2 linked regions of the Diceros bicornis minor genome follow. The protein of the gene in region 2 purifies or fractionates together with the protein of the main gene of each other region. This does not show direct contact. Links are inferred from orthologs where the notes say so. Each region holds a gene or a part of one and is shown on either strand. Other genes may lie near its edges. The genes, in order: CUL9 and GLMN.

What was found.
Region 1: the proteins of GLMN (region 2) and CUL9 purify together in Homo sapiens (affinity purification with mass spectrometry; 3 studies listed by BioGRID and IntAct, counting the BioPlex papers as one, with this or other methods). This does not show direct contact. The link is inferred for Diceros bicornis minor from reciprocal best matches to the Homo sapiens genes GLMN and CUL9.

Annotation. Positions count from the first base shown.
Region 1 is NC_080753.1:22,535,210-22,539,124, forward strand, and holds the start of CUL9 (cullin-9), read right to left. Parts: upstream 2,694-3,915; 5' UTR 2,636-2,693; intron 570-2,635; 5' UTR 561-569; coding exon 1-560. UniProt on the Homo sapiens protein: Core component of a Cul9-RING ubiquitin-protein ligase complex composed of CUL9 and RBX1. The CUL9-RBX1 complex mediates ubiquitination and subsequent degradation of BIRC5 and is required to maintain microtubule dynamics and genome integrity.
Region 2 is NC_080743.1:28,576,466-28,580,380, forward strand, and holds the start of GLMN (glomulin), read right to left. Parts: upstream 2,446-3,915; 5' UTR 2,156-2,445; coding exon 2,104-2,155; intron 1,707-2,103; coding exon 1,636-1,706; intron 1,204-1,635; coding exon 1,078-1,203; intron 1-1,077. Other genes in the region: putative RNA polymerase II subunit B1 CTD phosphatase RPAP2, read left to right, coding at 3,063-3,297, 3,513-3,558.

The sequences.
Region 1 (3,915 bases), on a different chromosome or scaffold from region 2:
CCCGCACTCCGACGGATCTGAGGCTCAGGGTTGCACAACATGTGCATGAGCAGGTCCAGGGCTCCTGTCTCCCTGAAGACCCCAGTGAGGGGCCCGATGCTGGCGTAGGCACTGAGTACGTGGATGGTGTGGAGCACAGTGGCTGTGACGCTCGAGGTCCCGCCTTCTGCCAGCTGCCTGGCAGCCCTGCGCACCAGCGCCCGCACATCAGCCTCCATCTCTCCCATTGCCACGTCATCCAAGCCTCCTGGATCTTGAGGAAAGCTTCCTGAACCCCCAGCTGGTTCATGCTGAGGTCCCTTAGATAGTGCCCGCTCACCTAACAGCATGGGGCAGTTGGCGTAGACCTCAGGAGCTGACAGCCACATGAGGATGTGCTCTGCCTTACCCTCTTCCACACCCATTCTGCCCACTTCCCCACACTTCAGGACACTCCATCGGATCAGGTACTCAGGACGTCCATCATGCCCAGGACGCTGTCGAATAAGTTCTTCAGGATATGCCTGCAGCCAGGGCCCCAGGGGCACCATGAGGTCCCCAGTGCGCCGTTCTCCCACCATCTTGACCTCCTGAGACACACAAAGAGAAAGATAGAGGCAGTATGGGAAAGGGAAAAGACTACACGGAAGGGGTGGAATCTGGAGACACAGAGAGGCTGGGTGGTGATTGGTAGGCTGCATGGTTGAATTCAGGGGCCAAATAGAAAAGGCCAAGAATAGGATGGAATAAATAACTTGAACATACTTTGGAATTTATAAGAGGAGCACGGAGTGAAAACAGCAAGAGGATGAAATGAAGGGATTCAGGAAATGAAAGAGGTTACAAGAGAGAGGATGAGAAGAACAACAGGCAAGGTAACAAAAAGAGCAACAGTTAAGCAGGACAGTCTGGGCAGAATAGCAGGGTGGCTGAGGGATACAGTTCAGGACTTAGGGAAGAGTTATATGGGCGAGCAGGAAGGACAGAAGCATCTGCGACAGTGGCACCAGAACAAGTTAGGAAAGTCAGGGGAGGGGAGAGGCAGGACAGGGAGTATAAATGAGAGTAAAGCTGGTATGTGGCTACAAAGGGCTGGGCCATGGCAGATATAGAGAAAACAGACGAAAGGAGGCTGGGCTGTGGGCCCCCACATCCAGATGGCTGGATGGGAAAAGTGTATGAGAATACTGTGAAAGAGAGAGGGAGCCAGGGGGCCAGATAACATTATGGGAAAAAAAGACAGGTCCTACCCTGGACTTACACTGTACGCATAGTGAGGGTCTAAGTCAGGTAGATATAGATGGAGGTGGTAATCATGGAGTTAAAGAGTAGGGAATGAGGTCAGGAGATGGTAGAGGTAATAGGGAAGCAAATAGTATGGATTACAAAGTTAGATGAATGTGATTCTGAATTCTGGCTCTTTCACTTACTATGTTTGTAGTTTTGTACAAGTTACTTAGTCTCTGAACCTCAGTTTCCTCCTCTGCAACATGGTAATACTATTCATACCCATCTCATGAAGTTGTAGTAAGATCACATACGTGAAACATTTAGAACAGCTTCCAACACATATTGAGTGCTCCGTAAACACAATCTAATATTACTATTCTTTTTTGTTGTTGTTTTGTGAGGAAGATCAGCCCTGAGCTAACATCCATGCCAATCCTCCTCTTTTTGCTGAGGAAGACCGCCCCTGAGCTAACACTTATTGCCAATCCTCCCCCCTTTTTTCCCTTTTTCTCCCCAAAGCCCCAGTAGATAGTTCTATGTCGTAGCTGCACATCCTTCTAGTTGCTGTATGTGGGACGCGGCCTCAGCATCGCCAGAGAAGCGGTGCATCGGTGCACGCCCGGGATCCGAACCTGGGCCGCCAGTAGCAGAGTGCGCGCACTTAACCGCTAAGCCGTGGCGCCGGCCCTAATATTACTATTCTTAAATGAAGAAGGTAGGAGCAGTCCTCAGATAAATGGAAAGATATTAAGCCAAAAGAAGACTGTAAACGGGAGTAGGGTGATGGCTATGCTAGTCGTCAGGAAAAGATGTGTGTGATATGAAGCAGTGTGGGGGCAACCGGGAGTGGTGAGAGTAAGAATGGAAGGTAAACTCAGATGAAGAAATGGTGATCAGAGCAGGGGTCCTGTTGAGGTCAGGGAGAGAAGATGAGAATAGAAGAGAGGCGTGAAGAGGAGGGGAAACATAGGAGGTGATGGGGGTAGGGGTCCAGTTATCATGGAGGGCAAGACTGGGAGGGAACCAGTGATGCGATGGACCACTGATGAGCAGGATACAGGGGTAAAACAATCAGATAGGCCTAAGATTGGAGGAGAGGAGGTGGGGAACTGTCATGGGCCTGGGACAATAAACTGAGGTGTAGAGAGATCTGGACGCGAGGATGACACAGCAGGTAGGCTGGTAGCAAGGTCAAGCCCAAGCCTGCAGACCAGCAGGGGCGGCGGCGGAGGCCAGGACAGCGGTGGGAACGGGCTTGGGGGGGCGGGGTGAGGATGGGGAGGAGGGCGCGGTCCGAGGAGGCTGACAGGACCGAGCGAACCTAAGAGAGTGAGACCTGGGTCCCGTCGTCAGCCCGACAGAGAGTGGGTAAGGGACCAAGCAGGGATGGGACGGGGACCGGGGCGGCGCAGGACTCTTGTCTCACCTCCCACTGCCCAGCTCGGCCCTCGCTGGGGCCCAGGGGCCGATGCCGCCGTCCTGGCCCCGCCTCCTCAGCAGCTCCCTTCCGGGTCACGCAGGAGAGCGCGCGCGGCCGGGCGTCTACGGGTCCCACCGCGGCCCACAGCCGAGCGGGCGGAGCAGCGCGCGAGTGGCACATGCGTAGTGCCCGCGGGCTGCTGCGTGGAGGCGCGCTGCAGGCGGAGCCGGGATCGCGGTCCCGTTGCTCCTCGCTGCAGGAGTGGAGAGCCGTTTCCATCCGCAATCAATTGTGAAGCCCCGTTCCCCTTCACGGAATCAACCTTCTTCATCCCCCTGAAACCTAGTGACCCACACTCCCCCGCTAGGGCTGCTCTTTGAGTTTTTACTGGGTAACGTGGACATGAGTTTCCCAAACCCCTTGGCAATGCTTTGGTTGAGTCACTTTTCCTATTAATTAAAATTGTTCATGTCTGTGTTGGCCTAACAGCCGGCAAAGCCCTTCACCGAGATAAAGGCCCAGCCTCCGAAATGTTCGTTAAATTAAATCGTACGGAGTTCAACAGCCCAAAGCTCCCCTTAGCATTGCCGGATGTTTTCATCAAGCAGCCAGGCTTCCTTCTCGGAGCAGCAACTTTTGGGGTTTGATTCGTGTTCACACCTCCCTCCCTCCCTCCCTGCATGGAAAAACGGAGGCAAAGACCCCACTGTCTGTGCACAAAAATGATACATTTATTGAAAGAGTATTTTTTTTAATACAAAAGAAAGCTCTGTACATAGGACTGTGACCATGTCCACTATTCCTGGGTCAGCATCCCAGGGGAAGTAGAAACCACTGACATACACACTCCACATTCACACACACACATTCACTCAGGCACATACACACCCCCCAGAGCCATCAAGGAAGGGAAACACCAAGGGTCACTGCACATAGAAATGCCACCTCATCCCTGACGCACGCATGTTCTCCCAAGGCCACGCTCACACAACACACATTATAAGCACTTTGCCTGATTCACTCACTGGGTCTGTCTTTTGTGGGAAGGAGAGGAGGAATTCATCAAGGTCTCCTCCCCTGGTGGGGGAGTGGGGAGTGAGTGAGTGATGGTGGAGTGAAAGGAGAGCAGAGAAAAGGGGCTGGGCAGTTACAGACCTGAGTCCCAAGTTCCCCCACTCTCTGGCCCCTGATTTGCCATGCCCCAGCCTTGTAAGCCACCCATAAGCCCCAGCTATCTCCAGGAAAAAGCCCAGAAAGGTGGCTGCCATCCTGGCACCCCAAATTGG
Region 2 (3,915 bases):
ATTATTAGCTAAAAGTAAGGTACTCTCAAAGGTTATCCTCTGAGAACACAATTGGGAAAAATTAAGGAGTTAAAGAAAACATTAAATTTACTTTATTTTGGGCTACAAAGGTACCATAAACACATATCAAAAACAAATGTATTAAATAAAATGTTCTATTTTTTCAAAAATTTTTTTAATTTTTAAAATCTTTTTTAAATAAAAAAGAGATAAGCTCTTTGAACTATTGACTAAAAGATTCTACAACAATATGTGATTCAAAAGTTTTAGGAACCTCCCAAATACAATCAAGGAGCCCTAGATATAATCACAGGCCAGCATGACCAGATTGTGGTATCAACAAAAAAAACTCCTGTATAAATAAATAATACTATAAATGAAGAAAGAGTATGTTCCTGGAAAGAAGATGATCTTCCCTTGTATAAGGAGGGGAGTCCAAAGACACAAAATTTGGCAGTATTGCCAACACTGTGTCCTAGCTGTTCCTGATCCCAAAAAGATCCTTTCCCATTGTGGAGAATGACTTCTCAGACAATCATAGCTGGACGATAATGGCTAGTAAGGTCATCCAGCTCTCCCCATATTCTGATTCTAGGCACCTAAGACTTAATATTTGGTTTTCTATATTCATCTGGCTGGAGGAAGAGAATGTGCTGATCACCAAAAATGAGTATCTAGCCTGCCTGATAATTATATTTCTCAATGTAAATTAATGATTCAAATGCCACTTTTGATCCCCAAACCAGAAGTAATCCCTCTTCTTCTAAAGCACTTTACTTATATTTCAACTATAGCACTTACTCTGGAGAGGCTAAATGAGTTAACAGACGTAAAGCATCTGTTTGTTCTGCCTCCTTCTTGCTAGCTGTTTACATGTTCATCTCTTCCACCAGAGTGCAAGCACCTGAAAGCATATGAATAGTCCTAATTCCTTTTTTGTTTCCCACAGTTTCCTACTGTGGAAATTTAAGTTGATTCTTAAATGTTTGATGAAAAAAATGAATGGATGAATAATAGTATCATGCGGCTATTCTCTCCTAGTAAAGACTGAAAAGTACACACAAAGATTGTACTTACCTTATTCTTTTCACTTTGAATAATTTCTAATAGCTGGTCTATGTGCCCTTCATCTAAGCATCTTTGGCCTGCTAACTGAAATAGGCCAAAATCTTCTTCTTTAAAGTCTTGCTCATCTAGGATTTGCTAACAAAAACAAAATAAACAAAAATCAAACATGTTGAGGTAAATACAAATCCAATAACTACCTGATTTATTTAACTCTCTGAAAAAAGGAAATCTGTTTAAATTCTAGATAAGTTGCACACAAGCATATGTATGAAAATTAGAATTAGCCTAATAAATATTTTAATGAATGATCTTGAAATCCATTGTACCAAAAAAATCTATGGTAAGGATCAGCATCAAAAATTTAAAAGGTTATTTAGACAAGTATGTCACTTAGAGAAATAATCCAATCTGCCTTCCTGCCCTCATGCTATTTTTTCACAGGTCAAAAGAAGCAAGGATTAAAGAAGATTAACGATTTGAGTGATTGCAAATGTTAATAAAAATAATCTGTACCCTTCCCATATTTTGAAAGGTATTTTAACTTTACAAAAAGAAAAAATTACTTACACATCTCTTTATTATAGATTGAAGTTCCTCCACAGCCATTCCTGTTTTTCCTAGTTTGAGGCTGAAATGTACTAATATAAAACACACTGTTAACTATAAGTGATATTACACTGAAGTATTAATAAGTTATGTTTCATTCTTATGAATTATTAGTAAATACAATAAAGAAAATGGAAACTTGTAAAGCTGAAATGCTTTTACTGCAAGTTAGTGTTAACCCAAGAAAATAAAAATGTATTTTAAAAAAAATTCCTGTTGCATCTTTTAACTTTTCTAGAGCATAGTTTTGAAAGATAGACTTAAAAAAAAATCCTCTAGACACTCTCAAGAAGCAACACAAATATGCACTATATAAATGACTTTAAAAAGGAAAAGTATTTCTTTTCCGAAAAAATCTCCGAAAGGTGGGCCTGAAATCAGTAGGGAATTTTTTATGTTTTAATGTCCCGCCAGTGCAACAAAACTCACCCAGAGAGGGTGCAAGTTCAGACGCCCTCCACCCCAAGCGTGACCGAGACATTTCTCTATAAGAGATGCACTCCCCAAAATAATCAATCCAGTCAGTGAAATCACTATATCGCACGCAGACGAGGCAACCGGCGGCCCTCAGGACAACACCGTTCCGTTGCCACCGGTCATCGTTTCTCCCAGCAGGAAGGCCGAGCCCCAGGCCCACAGTGGGGTCGCGGGTCGGCGGGGTCCTCACGGCTGCGCGCTCCAGGGCGGATGAAACCCCAGCGCGCGTGCGGGCGGCATCCAAGGGAAGCCATTTCTCCCGATTCCTGCTCGCCTTGACGTTCGGGCCCCACCACCTCGCAGGGCCTAGTTGGTCCGCGGCCCCGAGTCCTGCGCGGCTGACGGCCCCCGGCAAGCCCCGAGCCCCCAGCACTCCCGGAGCGCCCACTTACCGGCCACCCCTCCCGCCCCTCTCAGCCGCCTCCTCCACCTCCGGGGGCCGCGCAGGGCGCTCTCCGGGCCCCGCCCCGCGCTGCGCGAGGGAGGCGGAGCCTCGGGAGAAGACGCCGAGGCGGGGCCCGACCCTGTGAGGACGCGTCCCATGGCTGAGCCGGCCAGGCTGCCCTCGGCCCGCCCCAAGGCCCGGGGTCCCCGCGCCTCCCGAAACGCCGCAGGTAGGAAGAAGGGCCTCTTCCCACGTTTGGACCCTGAGAACTGAGCCCCGACAGAGTTCCAGACCAGGCGCGCGGGGCGCTCCCGAAAGGCTGCCCCGGGGGAGGTAGTCTTCGGGGCAGAGAAGGCCGAGAGCTTCTCACCGCCGTCCTCGCGCGTTCTGGGGAAGACCTCCGGCCGCCTCCACCTCTTTCCACTAGTATTCCACGATTTTCCCCAGAAGGGCTGTGCTCCAGTCTCTGAGGGAAAGGGCAGTAGAGATCCTGGGAGCCTGGAGTCGCCAGAGTGAGCAAGTGACCATGGCAGCGTCAGCGGGCAGTGCGCAGCTGGCCTTGAACCTAGCACTGGTCCTCCTTCCAGATGTCCTGCTGATCTGGTGCTCCGGTTCTCTGAGGTGTCATACTCCTCCCTTTCCCTGGGAGCGAACATTTGGGGGATGGAGAGAGGTTGCCCGTAAAAGGAGCCAGATCTCAGATTTGCAGGAGTGCCTAACTATGCAACTGTGTTTCAAGACAAAATTCAATCCCGAAAGAGGTACATTTTAACCAAAAATTCGGGAATAACTAATTAATTTACAAAAACAAATTGGATCCCTTCCCATTTCATTTGATTTACACACAGGATTGGAAATGAAATGTGTGGAAAAGAAGAAAAAATGGTCTGCAGTATATTTGGGCAGGAATCTGTCCTGTAACCTAGTGTGTTTGTGTATACTTGACCTACTGATTTTGGGGTTTTTTTAATCGTAGGTACTAAACAGACAAGTGCCTTGCAACAAGAGGATGCCTCCAAAAGGTATGAGAACTACTTGGACAACTGCATTCTCTTATCTGTTTATCTTATATTATTTGAACCATTTTTAAAAACAATAATGGGTGCTACCCTTGAGAAAATTCTTATGAGAGAGAAGGGGAATATCTGGGAAGCACTATAGTTCTCACACAGACTGTTACATCCCCGTACTCCGTGCTTTAAGAAAACCAAATCAGACACTTGTAGATCACTGGTGAAGGTATGAGTGTCTGTAGAAAGGTGTCTATGGGAATAAACAGTCCTGAATTAACCAGGTACTCCTTTTCCACCTCTCCAGATACTTTCTACTTTTCTTTGTATGCCAGAGACGCCAAGAAACCTTTTCTGTTGTTTGTTTAC